Bombyx mori: one gene and its partner. The protein of the gene in region 1 interacts with the protein of each later gene in a pairwise test. Links are inferred from orthologs where the notes say so. Each region holds a gene or a part of one and is shown on either strand. Other genes may lie near its edges. The genes, in order: GRIP and coiled-coil domain-containing protein 1 and ras-related protein Rab-39B.

The links.
Region 2: the proteins of GRIP and coiled-coil domain-containing protein 1 (region 1) and ras-related protein Rab-39B interact in a two-hybrid assay, tested with the Drosophila melanogaster proteins (2 studies listed by BioGRID). The link is inferred for Bombyx mori from reciprocal best matches to the Drosophila melanogaster genes GCC88 and Rab39.

Annotation. Positions count from the first base shown.
Region 1 is NC_085118.1:16,485,109-16,489,100, forward strand, and holds the start of GRIP and coiled-coil domain-containing protein 1, read right to left. Parts: upstream 2,801-3,992; 5' UTR 2,535-2,800; coding exon 2,450-2,534; intron 2,076-2,449; coding exon 1,974-2,075; intron 1,508-1,973; coding exon 1,404-1,507; intron 627-1,403; coding exon 481-626; intron 1-480.
Region 2 is NC_085129.1:14,750,488-14,768,125, forward strand, and holds ras-related protein Rab-39B, read right to left. Parts: upstream 10,457-17,638; 5' UTR 10,342-10,456; coding exon 10,234-10,341; intron 10,163-10,233; coding exon 9,811-10,162; intron 9,150-9,810; coding exon 8,941-9,149; 3' UTR 3,460-8,940; downstream 1-3,459. Other genes in the region: THAP domain-containing protein 1, read left to right, coding at 13,495-13,573, 14,065-14,179, 15,006-15,198, 16,081-16,677.

The DNA of each region.
Region 1 (3,992 bases):
AGCCTAAAGAGTGGAACAAGTGTCATGCACATAAACCTCAACCATAATATATCGCAATATGAACGTAGCTTCTATCTGTTGAGATAGTTTGAGCTGAAAATCAAAGCAATATACACAGAGCCTACCCAAAAACACATCTTACTATCAATAAATTACTAATTTTAATCGAACAAAAAGATAACAAAGTCGCTTTCCCTGTCCCTATATCCCTATGTATGCTTAAATCTTTAAAACGACGCAACGGATTTTGATGCGGGTATTTTTTAATAGATATAGTGATTGAAGAGGAAGGTTTATATGTATAATAACATCCATTAAATAATGGAGAAATCAATAATAAATTACAGTTTCCGAAGCGAAGCGAGGGCGGGTCGCTAGTTTTAAATATTTATTTTCTATTTGAAATGCGCTAGTTTACTTGAAAAATAGCCTTTATGTCATAGAATCACATAATATTCTGTATAAGAAATGTATGCTTACTTCATCATAGCAACATGATCAGCTCTCTCCTTCTCCCTCTCTTGTATCTCGTAGGCTATCTTGGCTTTCAGACTGTTAAGCTCCAGCAAATGTTGCTGCGATAGCATTTTATTCTCCTCTCTCAGTGCCGCTAACATGTTCTCATACTGTAATAATATTCACGCTCAACATTAGCTAACATTTCATTTTGTATAATAAAAAACAACAATAATCATTTTAATGACCACTAAAACTGTGAAGTATCTCATACATCAGTAATAATATAATGACAATAAAACAAGTTCGATTAAGCTATAAAAGTTGTTTTAATTATGTCTATGACTCACGAAAATCAAAGAATATACAATAATTATATCTTCATTGTAAAATACTGGTGGTACTACTGGTATTACTGGTGGTAGAACCTCTTGTGAGTCCCCGCAGGTGGGTACCACCACTCTGCCTATTTCTGCCGTGAAGCAGTAATGCGTTTGGATTTGAAGGGTGGGGCGGCCGTTGTAACTATACTTGAGATCTTAGTACTTATATCTCAAGGTGGGTGGCGCATTTACGTTGTGAATGTCTATGGGCTCCAGAAACCACTTAACACCAGGTAGGCTGTGAGCTCATCTACTCATCTAAGCAATAAAAAATAAAAAAAACAATACATATACTTCTGCACCTAATGATGCATTGCTTGTGTCCACTAACAAATCTCAAATACAAGCAACATCTAGTAAGCTTGTATTTGAGATTTGTATGACATTAACTTATTATTTGTAACATTAGTATGACATAAGTCTTGAAAATAAATCCTTTTTGGTAAGCTAAATAACTACAGCACTAATCTAATAGCAACTGAGAATATATACTTAGTATTTCTGAGAAAAGCATAGACAGATATTTTTCTTTGGCTGTAGGCACATTCATGGAATCACATGTACCTTATCCCTTGTAACTTTTTTGTCTGCCTGGAAAGCTTCTTCCATGCGAGCTTTCTCCACTGTGAGGGTAGAAAGAGACAGAGTGAGGGCTGTGACCGAATCATCTGTAAATTGAATGAAATTTTAGAATCCATGCATTATGTGATTTGGGTTACTTGTACTATTAGCATATTATATTTAAAATAGAAACTCATATACAGTAAAAGATCCTTATTCCCGATTCCTTCGTTTGTGTTTCGACTATTCGCAGATAAAAAAATGCAAGCCAATTCCTATATTCACAGCTCAAGATTTCCTTATGTGTTGATCTAATAAGTCTACTGGTACATACACATTGATAAAAAGGATTTAAATATGTAGGTATCCAACCAAATATCCTTTGTACCACTATTAGTGGTTTCTGTATTTGCAGACTATTTAAGGAGCATATACCCCACGAAAAAAGAGCTTATACTGTATGACCAAAAAAAATTTGTATTTTTAGACAATATAATATCAATTTTTTTTATATCTACAGAAGTGATAAATGTTAATTCCCCATCTCTATTCTACACCTCTGAATGTCCATACCTTCACTTCCATCTATAGTGTTTTCAGTCTTGTTGAGTGCCTTCAAGCTGATCTCTAATGCTTCTTTCTCTTTAACCAAGCCCTTGTAAGCTGTGACTACATCTGGAAATGAAAATTTACCTTGTAAATGACATCATTACTTTTTTCTACGTTGAATTTATAGTTGATATGCTGCCACAGCCAAAAACCAAGGTTTTTGAGATGAATTCAAATTTGTCAAATATGTATTTAGAAAATCTACTTTTATGTAAATGCACTACAGGATTTGTTTTAGCCACATAACATATGGCTCTCAAATTAATCTTTTCTAATGGTGTTTAGGAGCACTTTCACATGTTTCTCAATAAACTATGTTTAATAAGAATCTCGCGAAGTCTTGGAATGAGTGCGTGAGCTGACTATCTGTCCCGGTTAAGCAGCAAATCCTCCGAGCTAAACACTGTCCTTCTATTCCAAATAAAAAAGATTACACTTACCCCGTAAACGTGATTCGTATCGTTTTATCTGATCAGCTTGTTTTGTTATGGTAGATATTAGCTCTTGTTTTGATAATGATTCCATTTCTATTGTTATGACACAAGACTAGACATATTTTTGTTAAATAAACTTTACCATAAACTATTAGTTAAGTTCAAATAAACTAGAACGGATCAGTATTTAGTACAGGTTTAATTATTTGAGAAAACTCCACAATTTAAACAAGTCTGTAAATAAAATTTGATTTAAATCAATATTAACATCACTTTTTAGTTCCCAGTTCAACTTATATTATAATAAAATAATGTCATTAATGTCTAATCTATGCTTCCACTTACCAGCATGACCGATGAGACTTTTTGGCGGGAACGCGAGGACTGAAGTTGTGTGATTTGTTTTATTTTGTCTATTTAGTGTTTCTTCAGGTTTAAATATGTAATAATGGTGGTTTATTAACTGTTTAATATCTGTGAAAGTGCACAAATGTGGGAAAATGAAACAAAGCTGCTGGACGTAACTTCTCGGGTTCCTCCAAAAAGTCCACTGAAAAAATCTCAGTAAATGACCACTATTTTACTGTGATTATATTTCATCCCATATCATTTCATATCATTAAATTTCATCCCAGTTGATTAATGTCTCAAATTAATCATCTTCATTTCATTTCACTCCTTATTATCATTTTTCATAAAATTAAGAATATAAAGTAAAATAAGACCTGACTTAAAGGTCTTAGTTACCAGGTCATAAAATCTCTTAAAAAAAACAGCATGACCGATTTTTTGACGTTTGACAACATAGAAACCATTAAAAACTCCAAAACGATCGATACCGTATATCGTATTAACTAATATTCTTTTCTCTAATAATCTGAGGATGTACTATAAGTAACAAGAAAATTTTAGACCTACATATCTACGTGAATATGGAAAACAAAATAAAAGAATACAAGGTTGAGAATAAAATTACAAAAGTCAAATTTATCTTACTCATTAAAATATCAACAAAAGTCAAATTTATCTTACTCATTATATAAAATTTGTTAGATAATTGTCATTTTCGTAATCATTGTCACAAAGTTTAAATTTATATTTATATTGCTTACGAAAGCACTAGTGGTCTTGCATTGTCGTGAAGGAGCAATGGCTTAAAGCGATTGACCAATCTCGGTTGATTAGCACCTAGTTCTTCCTTCATGGTTTACAGTTGCTGACAATAGATATCTGCCGTAATCGTTTGGTCAGATTTTAGATAGCTGTAGTGAACGACACCGGCGCCGCTAGTCCACAAAACTCACAAGTAACTTTTTCTGAGTCTATTTTCGTTTAGGGCAGGATTTGGCTGGGTCTGCAGAGTTCAGCTATTGCGACGAACGCTTCCGATTATCGTACAGTACCTATACACTTTCATCACAAGTAATGATTTGATTTAAAATCCCTTCATTATTGTGTCGCTTGAGCAAAGTAACACAGCAGTTGACGCATGTTTGGAAGTTCGATCCACTCAATTCATGAAGTACCCATCGTTGATTTTTTTTTTTAC
Region 2 (17,638 bases), on another chromosome or scaffold:
TATGAATTGAGCAGTTGTTATCTGAAGTATGCTGAGTTAGAAAATTTAATATATTTAATGACTAGAGTAGTTAGTGACAGTGTAATATACAAGACCTTACATGTTTACGTAGTCCAAACTAATTTCGTCAAAATTATTTTTCGTTAAGGCGAATTTACAGTACGAAATTAGTGGCATGAAATTAATTTCGTGACATTAGTTTTACCAACAGTTTCACGTGTAATTTAATACTTTTGTAATGCATGCATTAATTTCATGCATGCAAATTAGTTCCGTGCCCTGCGCGATTTTTTGGTGAAATTAGTGTCATGCAACTAATTTCATAGTGTAGACGCGACGTGGAACTAATGTCGCGAAAGGGCCTGCGCTGTGCGGACGTGTGTATTTTTAGTTCAGACGCGCTTCAAGTGTTGAAAATTACAAACCAACGATGGAGTACAGAAAAAAAAAGATCTTATTAATGAATATCAGCGACAAGGGTGTCTCTAGGACCCGAAACACCTACAGTAAAAAAGCAAAATAATCTTCACTCATTCGAAAATAGTTTTTATAACTCTCAGGATCTTCATCTGCTAATTCAGAGACTACCTTCATTGCACCTAAATGCCTTCTTGTTAACCATCCTCGAATCTACCAACGTCTTTTTTTTCTAGATAGTCTTTTTTTAAGTTTATAGGTATTTATGCATTTCTTTAGCTACATTGAATAGAGCAAAATATAGCTTTGATGCTGAAGGCACCATAGTTACTGCGATACTATGGATTTCGCGACACTAATTTTTTAACGAAATTACTTTCGCATATATCTACTACTTTCGTGAAACTGAGTTCAACGTGCATGACACTAATTTCGTAAAAGAAATTCCGCTTTACTATTCGTTAAAATTATTCCTGTGGTAAAACGTGGGGACATCTATTGCATTTTCCAGCTTTAAATAAAATACTTTTTGTGATTTTGTATGTAGTGCTTACAGTTCTTTATTCTGTTCTATTTTTCTATCTTTTTCTAATAACTTACAGCGCCTTTTTTTTAAATTTACCCGGTTCGTACTGTAGCGCCACCCTTATTTTTTTTAATTTTAACGGACACTTTTTCACACACAGAGACGGTTCTCCTTACCTCTACCCTCCATAGCACAGAACACTATTACTTCTAGCAACTCCATAGTCTCAAGGCCTTCACACTGAACACACCTAAAGTCATCGTGGCATAAAGGTTAAGACGTCCGGTGCATTCGTATCTAGCGATGCAACGGTATTCGAATCCCACAGGCAGGTACCAATTTTTCTAATTAAATACGTACCTACTTAAAAAATGTTCACGATTGACTTCCACGGTGAAGGAATAACATCGTGTAATAAAAATCAAACCCGCAAAATTATAATTTGCGTAATTACTGGTGGTGGTGGATGGTGATTCTTACGGGTAGGTACCACCACCCTACCTATTATTGCCCTGAAGCAGTAATGCGTTTCGTTTTGAAGGGTGGGGCAGCCGCTGTAACTATAGGTACTGAAACATAAGAACTTATATCTGAAGGTGGGTGGCGCATTTACGTTGTAGATGTCTATGGGCTTCAGTAACCACTTAACAACCAGGTGGGCTGTGAGCTCGTCCACCGATCTAAGCAATAAATAAAAAAAGAAAATAATACGTAATTTTTTCGTGTGCTATGTCTATTGAGTAATTTTTAAGTAAAACTATTTTCGTATTGTTCTTTTGTTATCTTTTTACTGATTTTTGAAGCTGCCTTCTTATCAGTTTATGGGTTTTTTGCCTTTCGATTTAAATAATATACACAAAACACAGCTTAAAAAGGGTTATAATTGTAATTCAATTAAATAAAATGACTAGCAAATAAAGCTTTGACTCTTACCAGGTACAAAGTTTAAAGAACTGATAAATAATTCAACATATCCCTGATTTCGAAACTATCTCCTAATTTTGAGAAAACGTAACGGCTGGATCTATTTAGATACCTTTTTTTTTTAATGTTAAGTTAGCTGTTATTTAATTATTATTCATTGTCGGCTTTAGCAATGAAAACGGTCTGTTTACGCCCTGTACAATTATTCCAACAGTCACCGCACAAATTGTAAACAGTAATTATCTCTAATATGACATGTGTAAGCACACATTGACTCGTAACTGACCGTGTTTCCTGTGTGCTGTTTGTTTTCAATGCTTCACCTAGAAAAGTAAATAATCAGTATATTTTTGTAATTATAAGTACCTTTTTTTTTTTTTAACGCTGGGGAATCCATTTACGGATACCCGGTCCGGGGGGGTCACGTACCGGGTTATGTCGGACTATTATATATTATAATTATAAGTACCTAACATTCTACGTTATGACTGTGCAGTATTCGAGACAATGGTTTATGTAAATATCTATTATGTTTACGAAAACTACAAATGTTACATTAAGTAGGTAGATAATTTTATGTTCACATTTGGTTGAAGTTGAAAGTTGAAGATGAAAGGCGATTGCATGCAGATGGTATGGATATGTGATGAGATGAAATGAAACTGAAGTTGGTAAGAGAGTGTTAACTATGAATGTGCAAGGATATAGAGGAAGAGGTAGACCTTAGAAGAAATGGATGGATTGCGTGAAAGACGATATGTGTAAAGAGGGGAGTGAGCGAAGAAATGGTATATGATAGAGGAGTATGGAAGGAGAAAACATGTTGTGTGACTGGGAAAAGGGCAGAAGAATGACTACGATTTGGTTGAAGTTTAGTAGGTATCTACTATTTTGCGACGTAGTTGAATAAATGATTTCCAGGCCATGCTCGATATAACGGTTATCATACGTTCCATCGATAATACGCTATACCAGAGGTCAGTGCGGCTCCGGAGCCGTATGCGGCTATTTGCAATCTTGAGTGTGGCTCTAGCACAAATATCCTACAGGCTTGCCCGGCCTCTAATATTATCCGGCTGTGGACAGTGTGGACGAAAAAGCCGGTTAATAGTATGTACGGTCATTTAATATCAGCACCCCTGACTAATGTCGATTATTATGTATATTAATCGAAGCAGTATACAATATAGCTTTTATTTAATGATTTACAATAATAAATGTTTACTACATTTACAAACAGATTTGGCTCTCAATTTTTTTAAGTCGTTTTAATTTGCATATTTGGCTCTTTGGCTGATAAGTTTGTCGACCATTGCGGTAATCCCATCAATGAGATTCTTTCACGATAGAAATAGGGACAAAGAAAATTACGCTTGTCAATCCTATATGGATACACTACAAAAAAGGTTTACTTACAGTAAAGTGGAGTACTACATCAAGGGCCGTAATCTGTTATCAGCACATTCTAACGGCATAGTCCGACGGACTATTATAATTTAATTTTACTCTTTTACAAAGTTATCACATCTTAGGAGACAGACATTCTGACCTCATTAAACAAAACTGGGTGAACACTATAAAATAAAACAACGTTTCATTTAACAAAAACTATATTATTATTAATCATAAAGCTTCATTTGATAGCATATTGGCTATTTATTAAAACAGTCTAACACATAAAAAAGAACAATAATAATTACTTACATAAAATGAGTTCCGTTTACAGTTCTTCAACTTTTGCGCTTCGAATATCTAAATCAGTTTGGAGTTCGAACACATCATTTTACAGAAAAAAATATTTGAGCCGCCATGCTTTCGTTATTACTACAAACTGTTATTACATCATCTGCTTGTATAGGTATATTTCACTGTGACGGTCTAAACTGAAGACTATCTGATATAGTCGCCAATGAGCTTCACGAAAGCTATCGCTTTTACTGCGAACAGTTTCGGCGATATCCAATCTAGTCTCACAGCTGCAATAGCTCACACAATTCCAGCGTGCGATGTTGTGAGAGGTGTTCACAGATAGGAGATATAATGAAACATTGGATAAATCAAATAATTGTTCGTCGAGGTCGATAGACGTAATCAGCTGCTATTACGTTTAAAAAAGGCACAACCTGATGGTCATGGTTTCTAGCACGAAGTATTGTTTTTAGCTTCCTGATAAATGTTGCCAATCATGATTTAAAGTATTAACAGGACACGAATAGTACATAGTAAAGGCTATGCTGGCAATATCTTTGGTTGATAAAAAATTGAAAAGTGTCGAAGTATCGGTGTGATTAGCATAGTGAGTTTCTCGCCGCCCACTGAGTTTCCCGCCGGATCTTCTCAGTGGGTCGCGTTTCGGATCCGGTGGTAGGTTCTGCGCAGCACTGTTCTTGCTAGGGCCAGTGTTAGCAACACACCCGGTTTCAGCCCCGTGAGCTCACTTACACGTCAAGGAGAAGCTGATGTAGCCCAAGGCTATCAGCATAGGTAGGAAAAAAAAAGAACAAATGGGAACAGAACTGCTACATGTTGCTGAACCAATAGCTAATGGAGCAGTCGAATTCGAACACAATACACGACATATCCAATGAAGGCCACGTTTATGTTCATTCGCCAGACGTACGAGCCGGGAAGGAATTTGTATGGGAAATAACAGTAAAATATTTATCTCAAGCTAGCATTTTCATCTAAGCTGTGGGTGATCAAAACATCCACGAGTGCGACATTAGAAATATACATATACTGCGCAGCGCAGTAGCCAGTTCATATAACACCAGCGAGCTCCTTAAAATATATTTTTTTCATTTAAATATGCAACTTATTCACAAGTATACTGACTACAAAAAGCCCTATACATGTTATCAAATCTGATTTATCAAACGAAGAACTTGAAGAAATAAACATGAACATTTTAATACAATACGTTTTTTATTATTATTTTATTACTATAAGATTATAAACGTTAAACCTAACCTTTTAAGCATAATAATGCTTCAGAGTAAATGTTGTGGGTACTCCAAGAAAATAGTAACCATACTGATTTTAAGTAGTACCATTGAAAAGGATTTTACACTTTGATACGCTTATGTGTACTATAAGGATGGGAGATTTATCGATAATTTTACTTGTACAATAAGTACATAAGGCATCCAAATTAATAATCGTTGTGTATGATGCACACCACTCTGCTCTCCTCGACATATCTAAGAACGTTTCGAATTTAGTGTAAATATTTCGAACAATTAATTGATCACACGTTTATTCCTATAATCACAATTAAATATCAATTTTATATAATAATATTGACTGCTTAAAGGCATATGTGTTGTGATTTTTGTAACAGTTTAAGAATATAAATGTTTTCAGAAATAATAAAGTATGCAAAAGCATAAGTTATACCAAAATGTAGGTTGCTTTATATACATTCAAATTTGAACTAGAAATCAATATATTCATATTCCATTGCCATTATTATGTTTATTTGATAGTCATTGCTAAACGTAATGTTGTTGGTAGGTAGAAAAACATATTTGTAGTGTAGTTACATAACTATAATCCGAATAGATTCATTAAAACAATTAAAATTCAATAAAAAGGTAAGCAAAAGTTGTTGGTATTTTTTTGAGCGTGAACAAGATTAGGTAGCTATTGTCCTGTTTGCAATAGAAATTAAGACAATATGGTGAATCCGAACATTTATATTTATAATTCTAAATATATTTTATGAATTTGCTATTAAAATGACTACTTGTTTAATTAAATATATCGGGTTTCTTATTTATTTAGTCTCATAAAAATCAATGGATATTTGAATAATATATTTTTGCGCTCATTTCCCTTGGACGGTAGAATTAGCACGTTAAAGTTTTAGAATGTAGCATCTGTATATTGGATTCTTAATATTCAAAATATTTATAATAATTATTTTAACACTAATGAAATATTTCAAATGACTACTAAAGTGTTTATTAATCATTTAACAATCGCAGGTACAATTTTAATGTTACAATTACTTAGGTTAGTTTAATTCAATGTACAAATCAATTTGTTAGTAAAAACTAAAAACAAGTTAGAATCTAAGACTTATTTCATTTTTCTGCTAAGTTTTCGGTGTACCAGATTTACCAATTCTTTGGTGTCTTTAAACAAATTAAATTAAATTTTAAATTCATAGTGAAATTGAATTTTGGTTCGAAAGTACTTTGGTGTAATGAAGTGTTGGAGTGAAATGTCCATTTTTAAAATGAAATTGTACGTGGAATACGATTTGACTGTTTAGAAATATAAAATAAATCAGAACAATAGAAACGTGTCAATACTGTACATTATTTACATCAAAAACAATAAAACAACAAAGAAAAAATAAAATAATGACTATAAACAAAACAGTGTATTCGGTCGTTTGGTCATTGGAATTAGTTGGTAAAGTACCAATTTTTTTTAGTACAAAGAGTAGTTTAGCTTTCAGGGATATTATCTTCATAATTTAATAGTGCCCCTAAAGCAGACCCATTCAAAAATGAGATTTTTAAGTAACATCAAAATATATTTTAATTTCATTGTTTATCCGTGCCTGCAATACCTTTACTAACATTCAAGTTCAATTTATTTAAGTGTAAACATATTTTAAATTTCGCATTTTAATTAGTATTATCATGCGGCTATGTTTTTTTTGGTTTTTTTATGACACACTTTTTGTTTATTCGATTACTGTTGGATTTTTTTTCGCAAACACCATATACCTAGATATAATGGTTACTCCTACTACTGGGACAATTCTAATGCCTCCACATGTGTTATAATCCGTTACAGGTTTAGCTAGTAGTCCCAGAGTACCAAAGAAATAGTCATTCATACATACGTACGAAAATTACTTTTTATAAAAAAAAAGTTTACCTAATTTGATCGGCTACGTTTATTTTTGCTTACAATAATTGTCACAGTGACATAATTAAAAATATCTGTGAACCCGCGCATTAAACTTAAATATCAATGATATTTAGAAATGCTATATTTTCCACAGTCCTACCTATAATATACTCGTATTATGCTATATGCTATATTTGCCATATAATATTTGTAAAGCAAAGTAACGATAAAGTATTCTTGAAATAATTGTAAATAAATTCAAATCTTAAAGATGAAAGTCACCTCAATATAATTCTGTAAATAAAAAATAGGGTTATTTGTTGACTGACAACATTTAGTCAGCCACCCCTTTTGCGAGCATGTTTTTTATGGAAAAATAATGGTAGGTACATATTGAATTTTTTATTTATTAATTTAGTCTTTTTTCTGTTGTAGTGTGTAACAGGGATTATTAAATATTTATTATGTGTCAAAGAGCGTAATAATAATGAAACAAAATACTCGAAACTTCATCTCGGGCTTCTAGCCCTCATTAAAAATACCGCATTTTACTGAGAATGACCATATATAAATAATAGTAATTAAAAACGTGTGCAAATCATGTATCTGGCGTCTTTAGCTTGTCAATTAGCGGAAACTGCAAACAGTCATATGATACGATCAGCGATGTTAATAAATTGCTTGATAGCTTGTCATCACTTGTATAAACGGTGCATTATTAGCTTGTGTTAGCTATCACATAGCAATGCTTTTTATTAAATTTCACATTAATAATCCGTTAATTATGTTTCATGAAAGTTCCGGTTCGCATGTTGACGGCAATACAATACGGCATAGATTATACACTTTAGCATCATAGATTAGCGAATTCTTGTCACGATTTCCTGTATCTAAAACCACGTTCACACTTCAGATGGCATTCTTATCAAAATAACTTAAAAGAACAGTGGTAATGCTCAAAAAGACCGCATCTCACCACAATTCGTAGATAAGGGGCCAGACAAATCCCACCCAACGGACAAAATATTTTATTTTCTTTCGGCAAACGTTAAGTTTTATTATTGTTTGTCGTTGTCATAGGCCTGTTGATCGCTTTCCTGAATTTATTTTAGGATGAATATTTTATTTTAAATTTTGCATTTTGGCTTCAATATAGAAATTACAAGTATTCATTTACCGTAGCAAATTCAACCGATGTTCACCCTAACCTACAATGCTATGCAATTTATTAAATAGTCACCTATACTACCGCCAACTGCAGCGTGATCGCGGCCTAATGAAATGAATGAATTTAAAATGACTCGTGCCCTTGTGTTACTAATGTCTCTGAAATGTCACAAACTGACAATTGTACAAAGTTTCATCTCAATCGGGGGAATGAGGTCAGAGTTTATCAATCTCAGACAGTAATTTCTGCTAACAGTCATTTTTTTGATAAGCTATATCTGTTAACCATGCACATGTAAAAGTATTACAAATCTGGTTGCAAACATTGTTTGATTTTATCTGCTTTGGGAACCTTGATATTACGTTCAACAAGCCAATGCAATGTGCAATTCAGTTATATGATTTCTGGGCTAGTGTATAATCCCCGCATATATTTTCCCTATGTCTACATAACACATTTATATAACCCTATTTATGCCAATAGCAAGTATGTGTGTGTGTGTGTATATAATATGTCCTAAGTACTTAATAAAACGAAAACTCAAATCATTTATTAATATGGAGGGCAGTAGTGATGTTTTATTATGTTTTAGATATTGCTTCACATTACTCATACGCAGTGTTTATTGATAAATACAGTTCATAAACCATACAGCTTTAATGTCATATGAGGAATCACTTGCCAATTAGGGTGCGATAACACTGGTCAACATTGGCTTATAAAAAATGAAAAAAAGGATTTTGCTCAATAAGCATCGTCAATAACTACATACTGGAAACTTTCTATTTCATGTACAATATTACTAAATAAATAAACCATAAATAAAGTAACACCAGACAGTAGCACTAAACATAAAAAAAAAGAGTTGCTGCATTCTTTAACACTGCAAGTTAGTCATTATGAACTTCATTAACCCAAATATTGTAATTAGAACATTAACTACATTACCTGTTCGATATTACAAAAAAGTATATTTATCCTTAAATATCAATTACAACTATTGTGAATCATATTTACATAGCCTTTTTATGCTCTTCATCTAACAGCACGTTGAGTGTACAGCTTCTGCTTCAAGTAAATTGAAATCAGTACCATTTGGTCGATTGAATCCTGTTTTTATTCCGTCCCATCCGTCTTCCACTTTATACTCACCAGTCTGGATTCGGTTGTAGACTTCTTGAGCTACAAGTACAAATGCCTGCTCGACATTTAATCCAGTTTTTGCTGATGTTTCTATGTGATGTAGGCCTGAGAACAGTTATTCTAGTTGTATGTTACAAGAAAACAAAAAAAGTAAGAGAAAATTATATTCTGCCATGGCAATGTTTCCCATCGGAGTTCATTTATAGTCGAGAATATCACCATTTAACTACAGCACACTAATACAGTCATTTTTTCAAATTATGTATCAAGGTATTATTCAATATCTCTATAAAATAGTTGTTTTATAAAATATGTATTTTTCCATAGACATTTTCATATGATTCAGATTTTGGTGTTGTTGTACATTAGCAATGTTGAAGAGGAAAACTGCCTAATTTCAATGAAGTGGCACAATTGAAAATCATTACAAAGGTGTACATTTTAGTTTGGTTAGTTTTTTTGTGTTTTTACATATCCAGATAAGCACAGTCTTATGACTGTTAGATTAGCTATCTTAACTTATTTCAAAACATAACAAAAAGTTAAAGGATTTATTTTTAGTTGAGTAGTTATGGTCACATATATTCTGATTCAGAACCATAATTTATAGTAGTTGAGCTAAAGAAATTTTAATATTTAATGTTCTTTTTATGTATCTGATAACATGATTACGAATTAGCTTTAAATGTGCAAATGAAGTTTCATTGAAGTGTTCAACCAGACAAACAATATTAGTGTACTGAATAATATTAAATTAGAATAATACCGTTTTCCTCAGCAAATAGCCTGGCTTCTTCACATGACACTTCTCGTCTTGATTCACTCTTGTTATCACTTCCGACTAGGTCGAGCTTACAGCCAACCAATGCGAACACTGGTCTGTGAGGTTCTATGTGCCTCTTGGCTTCCATCATCCATAATGGTATATGTTCGAAACTGGATCTGTTCGAGACGTCGTACACCAACAAAGCTCCAACAGAGTTTCTATAATACGATTTCGTGATGGAACGAAATCTCTCCTGTCCAGCCGTGTCCCAGAGTTGTAGTTTAATCCTTGTTCCATCTTGGATCTCGATGATTCTAGCGAAGAAATCTACGCCCACAGTCGGATCAGATAGCTGAAAATAAATGCGCAATTATATGAATAAATTGACAAAAATATCACATAAACAAAGAAATTATCACTCACCTCAGCGAACTTCCCGTCTGTAAAATACTTAAGCAGAGAACTCTTGCCGACCGTGCTATCTCCGATTAGGATAAGCCTGAACTGATAATCAAATATCGGATCGACCATTTTCTTTATTGTACATTCAATTCAATAACATTGAATAAAATTGTTAGCAACATTAATCTCGTCAAAATTACGTATGATCCAAAAAGATTCTGTTTGGTTTGTTTTGTCACTACAACGAGCAAGGGAAGCATAGCTCATTCGGCCTAAACTTTTGTGCTCCTGCACCGGAAAGGAGCAGAGCCGACGACGAGGTGTCACCATTGTAGACACGCCCTGGACATGGCGGAGCATACGACCGCTGTCTGTCCCGCTTGGGAGATGCAGCGTGCAGTGTCCTGGTCGCAAATATAAAACCGGACTTGTCGCTGCCTGGCATCGTGGCGTCGATGTTTAACGGCGATGAGTCCTGGAAGGCTACGCTCGACTTCTGCGAGTGTACTATCTCGCGGAAGGAGGCGGCGAGGCGTATGAAGTAAAGCTCTCCTCACTACGCAGAAATCCGCCGCCACCAAGCAGGGGGTCGGGATCCGGGTGCCATCCGTGACTCGCCCCCCCTAAGAGTTTCGGGATCCACCCGCTTTATGCGGGGTGGGACCTAAGCGTGGGGCGGCGTGTTTTGCACGCTCGTAATGGAAATCCGGTGATGGTATACCGCGTTCCCTCGACCGATCCGGGGAAGATGCAGCGCGGCGCCATCAAATCGAGGGGACCGGCGGTCGTGTCGTCAGCGGCCGCTGGTCCGGCGTCTAAAGTACAGCGAGATGAATGTAATATGGTCTGCGTCAACCTGTCCTGCCATTTCAACAGCCCCGACAGGTCTCCAGCCCGGTCCAGGGTAGGGCGCCGGCTGTGAGCGGCAGGAGTTTTTAGTAAGGTTCAACTCCCACACACTTCACCTGCCACGCAGGTGGGGATCCAGCGATTTTCTACTGTGGAAAATAAAGTCCTTTGTGCTACATGTAACGAAATTCTAAAATATCCAGCGGACTAGAGGTAGCCTGGTTCTTTTCTAGAGTTCAAACTATTTCAAACTTAATTTCGTCAAACATCATGACGACAGCCACTAGAAAATGTACGATGAAGTTCAGGCAACCCCTTGGAAGGCGTTGCTTCATTTCTGCGCAGGAGGTCGGGGAATGAAAGATAGTGAACTCTTCCGTTTCCGCACTGATCCGTTGCCGCGGAGCCAGGGCCGATAGAGGGTTTTCGCCCTTAATGAAATAAATATTTAAAATATGCTCACGAGTTATTTCCATGGTAAAGTAACAGGTGTATTAAAATCAAACCCGAAAAAATACAATTTGTGAAATGATTGATGATAGGATTCTTGTGAAGTGTATGGACCACCACCTACATTATTTGCTGTGCGGTACGGTGAAACAGTAATACGTTCCGGCTTAAAGAGTACGTAGAACAACCGTAACCATGTAACATCAGGTGAGCAGTAAAATCGTATACCCATTTATGTAAAAAATAAAGATAGGCAACACATTTTTATTTTTTCATTCAATCTGCTTAGTAACCGTACGTAGAAAATAATGAAATAGATCAATTGTTCAGATGCAGTTGATTTTTCCATTTCTATAAAAAAAAAACACCGTAAAACTTGTGGTGGATTTTAAAGTCTATTTATATTAAATTTTACATTCAAAATTACTTTTTGAACCAAAAACACTTGCGCTATGACAGCGAAGGTATTAAAATAGGAAAGAATTTGATGAAAATCAATCAGTGGCGAAAGAGCTAACTAAAATTAATTGTATTAAACTATAGAAAGTTTTAAAAAGGTTTATTGTAGCTTTATCAGTTTCACAATTTTTTTTATTTTTAATTTTTTTTATTGCTAGATAAATGGACGAGCTCATGGCCCACCATAAGTTAGGTGGTTTCCGGAGCCCATACACAGCTACAACGTAAATGTTTTGAGTATACAAAGTTTGTTAATTTTATTTTTTATTTCTTAGGTGGGCGGACGACCTCACGGCCCTACTGGTGTTAAGTGGTTGCCAGAGCCCATAGACATCTACAACGTAAATGCCGCCATCTACCTTAAAATAAGAGTTCTAAGGTCTCAGTATAGTACAACGGCTGCTCCATCCTTCAAACCGAAATGTACCTAACCATAACTGCTTCACGGCAGAAAAGGCAAGGTGGCGGTACCTACCCGTTCGGACCCACAACTCTTGGGTAAACAAACCTCGGATTGTAAATCGAATCCGAATATAGATATTTAGCAGTTAGAAAACCACATTCATTTCCGGTAAAAAAAAAAAAATATTTCAAAGGTTTGCTTTGCTTTTCTGCGGAAGCAAATAAGACTAAACATCTAAGTATTTTTTTGCGTTGTATTCTTCTTTCAAGTTTCCAGTGATGGATTGACGCTTATTGACGGCATGATTTGAGGGGCGATAAAAAAATTTAAATTCTAAAATTACAGGTACCAAAAAAAGTAAAGCCAGTCTTCTTTAAAAATGAATTCATATTACATTTTATAAAAAATAAAATACAAATTTATTTTAAATTTAAAATAAAAATATTGGATCAAATTCAAAAATAAAATTGTAGCATTAAAGGGGCGGCGCGATAAACAGGGCCTAGGGCGGCATCAAGCTTAAATCCTGCTACAATAAAAGACTGAAGTTCTCCAAGCTAAATAATAATATCCTTCTCTTGTGAATATTTTAAGACCAAAGCTGCAAAGCAAAGTATGCTAGGTGAAAACAAAATCATAAGTTATAAGTAGAAAAGTATCTTCACCTATTACGATTTTGAAAAATTTTAAAGCATTGTCATTGATAGTACCATAGATTATACACTAGATAGCACACTGGCATTGTTAATTGTTATGCATCTTATTGTGTAGTCTGTGATTTTGAGAAATAAATTTAATTGTTCGGATGCGTTCTAGTTTTTGATCCTAAGTGAATAAAAAAGTAACTTGAATGACAATTTACAAAGCTAAATATGAAATATGATTATAAAACATGATGATGATATCATTAATGAATAAAACTCAAATTGTTAAGCTGTGTGTATAACCTACGTGGTGTTAACTTTGCCGCCAAACAAAATTTTGTAAGCTATTTAAAATGAATTAAACACTAGTAATAATTCATTAAAATGTTGTAAAATTTCGCTGTGAATATTATAAAAATGCCATTTTGAGATAAAAGTCGTGAAATTTAAATTGGTAAAATTTGAATTTCAGTTGATATGAATATCAATCTAGTATACAAAATGAAGGATAGTTTAGCAGATTTTAACGATAATAAAACGAAACCAACGCCAATAGGTGAGTACTGTTCAATTCATTAGAAAAAAATATATTTCCTAAGCGTTTAATATATTTTCATAACAGAATGAGCTTTTTACTTTATATTACTAAGTGTAATACCCGATCCCACCCTCGTAATACATGAAGCTTCCAACTCACTTAATTTTGGTGATGCTTAGTCGTTGAAAGAATCTGGTTTAAATAAATTAACAAAAATCAGATTTCTCATAAGAAAGATTAATGTCACTTTAAAAGTCATATCCTAATTAAAAAAAAATCGGGCTTAAGAACCGGATTCCAATTATAAAAAGAAAACCAAGAATTAGATCTAAAGAAAGTTAAATTAATTGAATATTGATATGTTAATTTTTTTAAATCATTAAATTAAATGGAACAATTAATTTATTTTTTTAGATTGCCTGTACACCATTGAATATTTGTAAATTATAAATTAATTTTAAACTCCAATATGTAACAAATCTATCAATCAATGTTATTTGCACTTCCAGCGAAGGTAGCTCCTGAATTAAAACAAAATGCTGATACGGACATGGGTATAACGAAAACTTGTGCTGTACTTGGATGTGACGATTGCAAGAATATGGACTCAATTATGTTTTTTAGGTATGTGAAATTCATAATTCAACGTAATAACCATTTGTACTGTTTATTAAATAATAATATTATCCAGTCAGAGGTAAGTGACCATCTAGTTGTACAACTGACTTGTAGTTATCTCAATATTGGACAATATCTCATTTCTGCATGTCTAACTTGGTCAAGATTTATTGTCTAACCATGTTTTTACCAAGCAAAATAATAAGGGTAGTAAGAAGCATTAATTTACTCTTAATATTTAAAGCAATTTCAGCCATACTTTATTGCCACACTCCCTTTAAACGTTGAATACACTGATTTTCTCCAAGTGACTTATTAAAACAATAAATTTATTTTACAATGCCAGAAACCAGAGTAAAATCAGAAACTTAAATAGTTAAATATTAGTGAATAGTGGAAGTACATATATTATGATTCTTCAATATTGAAAGATTTCTGCTGAGCTTTATTAACTAGGATTAGAGCATTGTTTGTCTTCATAACATGAATAGCTTATATAAAGATGGAAAAAAATAAAACAAAAAGAAAACAATTTTTCTTTTTGTTTTATTTTTTTACCAATATACCAATGTATATTCTGCAACATTTCTTTTTAAACGGTTAAATAGGTTATAGTCAGGGTCAGCATAGCAAATTCGAGAGAAATTCCTAATGTGATTGCAATCTACTTTGATTGGTGTGCAACAACTTTTACAAAATGCGATTGAGCAAATTTGACTTCATTTGAAACTAGATAACATTCATTCATATTTGTCTCCTGTAATCATTAAATACCAAGTGAGTCTATAAATGGCAAGATTAATGATATTACATGATTAATTTGTTTTCAAAGGTTTCCTGAGGACTCAAGTCTCAGACAAATATGGACAGACCTCACGGGCAGAAATAATTGGACTCCAACAGATTTTTCCTATATTTGCATACAACACTTCTCTGTAGATTGTTTCAAATTAGACAATGAAGACAGAATGGTGCTTGTGGATAAAGCAGTGCCATCTTTGAAATTGCCTCGACATGTTTTAGAGGTATGTAGTCAATTACCTGCACTCTTAGGAAATGCTTGTGCGAGTATTATTTGGCAGGCGATAGTGATCAAACTGGCTTTGTCAGATTTAATATATCTGAGGCTCTATTAATGCAATATATATTTGTAAATCAGGTTAAAATCAGAGCATCTCAATGACAAAAAAAAAAAATGGCAATGTCTGCCTAGCTCTGAATTTGAAGATACGGATCTCCTTCACTAACTTTCCTATAATTTATCTGTAGTTGTATGTAGCATGCTTTCCTCTTCTATCATTCTTAATTTACTACTTTTTATGTACTTAGGCCTATGCGAAAGCAAAACAATCTTTGCCAATGTCAAAAGTTTATAAAAATTACATTAATAGTATGTACCTAAATATGAATTAAGGTTGTTAATAAAAGTAATAAAAGCTTCTTTATCTTATGTACCGTTTCATATCTGTATGTTTCCGAACCAATGATTTGCCTACTGCATTGAGGTAATCAAACTGTTCTCTTTTGAAGGATTGACAAACAAGAGAGCTGTTGATCAATTAAAACTTCAACCTTACATTTCAAGGTGGTTAATTAATACATTTCAAATATACAATCATTTTTTGGGAAAATATTTAGTAGTATTTTTACTCGTGGTAGGACCTCTTGTGAGTCCATGTGAACAGGTACCACCACCCTTCCTATTTCTGCCGTGAAGCAGTAATGCGTTTCGGTTTGAAGGGAGGGGCAGCCGTTGTACTGTTAAAACTGGGACTTAAAGCTCATGTCTCAAGGTGGGTGGCGGCATTAACGTTGTTGATGTCTATGGGCGCCGGTGACCACTTAACACGAAGTGGATCGTGAGCTCACCCGTCCAACGTAGCAATAAAAAAGGACTATTGTTTTAGGTTGAATACATTGATGAAGACACATTAGACAATGAAGGTGATAATTATATTCAGACTGAGAGTGACGAAGAACCAGAGAGGCCTAAAAAAATAATGAAAACCATCACATACAAAGAACCAGATATTGAATTACTCAAACTGTTCAGTGAAGTACAAAGAATGCAAAGGCTGGCTGTCACTCTAAAGCAGAAATTAAAACACAACATGAGAATACACAATAAACAGAACAGGTTCTTGCTGAGAATTAGAGAAATAATCGAAATGAAAAAGAAGATTTTAAATCAGAAAAGAAAGAAAAAATGTAGAATTTTATTGTCTTTGCAAGACAAAATCAAGGAAGACACAAGTGGTTTGGTTCTAGCCATGCCGATGAGACAAACGGAAGACCTAAAAAATTTTGCACTTAGTGTTTATAAATATTCTCCTCAAGCATACATATACATTCGGAATACCCTGAGAACAATGTTGCCAAGTACTGAAATTTTAGAATCGTGGGTGACTGCAGGCTACCAGCCTAAAAATGTAGCTTCCAATATGATTAAAGTGGTGGCGGAACAGACTGAAACATCATTATCTTGTAAAGTGACTTTAGGTTAATGGAATTCGATTTATTAAATAAATTAATTATGAAGGAATGTCAATTATTACTGTTATTATTCAATAACCAGAAATCATTTTTTTATCAACTAAACATTTTTAGAGATTTTAAAGTAAAAATTTACTAAATTACCAAAACCCTTTGGCGTGTGTGGTCAGGGGGAAGGTCTTCAACGGGGACTGGAGTTTTTGTGTTTATTGCCTAGATGGGTGGACGAGCTCCGGCCCATTCGGTGTTAAGTGGATACTGGACCCCATAGATATTAACAATGTAAATGCCGGCATGAGACAAGCCTCAGTTTTACACGACAACGGCAGCCCCGCCCTTCAAACTGAAACGCATTTTCACGGCAGAAATATGTAGGGTGGTGGTATCTACCCATGCGGACTTACAGGATGTCCTACCACCAGTTGGGAGTAATCCTCATCTTGACAGCGGCATTTGGCACTTTTCAGCATTGCTCCGGATTTAATTGTTCTACGCTTTGCTGGCGATGGGGTCTTTATTGTTCCGTTACTACAAAGAGATTAATGCTAGGGAATAATATAAATTAATTCAACTTTTTTTTTAGTTTTCATCATAAACAGAAGAGGTGATTGGATTTTAAGCACTTCTACATTTACCGTATTTACACCTCCCTTTTTTTTCCTACCTATGCTGATAGCCGTGAGAGCATATTTCAGCTTCTTGACGTATAGGTGAGCTCACGGGGTTCAAACCGGGAGTGTTGCTAACACTGGCCCTAGCAAGAGCAGTGCTTCGAAGAATCTACCACCGGATCGAAAACTCTACCCACTGAGAAGATCCGGCGAAAAGACTCAGTGGGCTGTGTATATGGGTTAATTTATTCGAGCGCTTCGTCGCAAGCGACGGGTTCAGTGAGGACGGTGACCGGAACACCTCCCAAGATACCAACCAAACATGCGATCAATATCTTAAGTAGTCTCACACGTCAGCTAA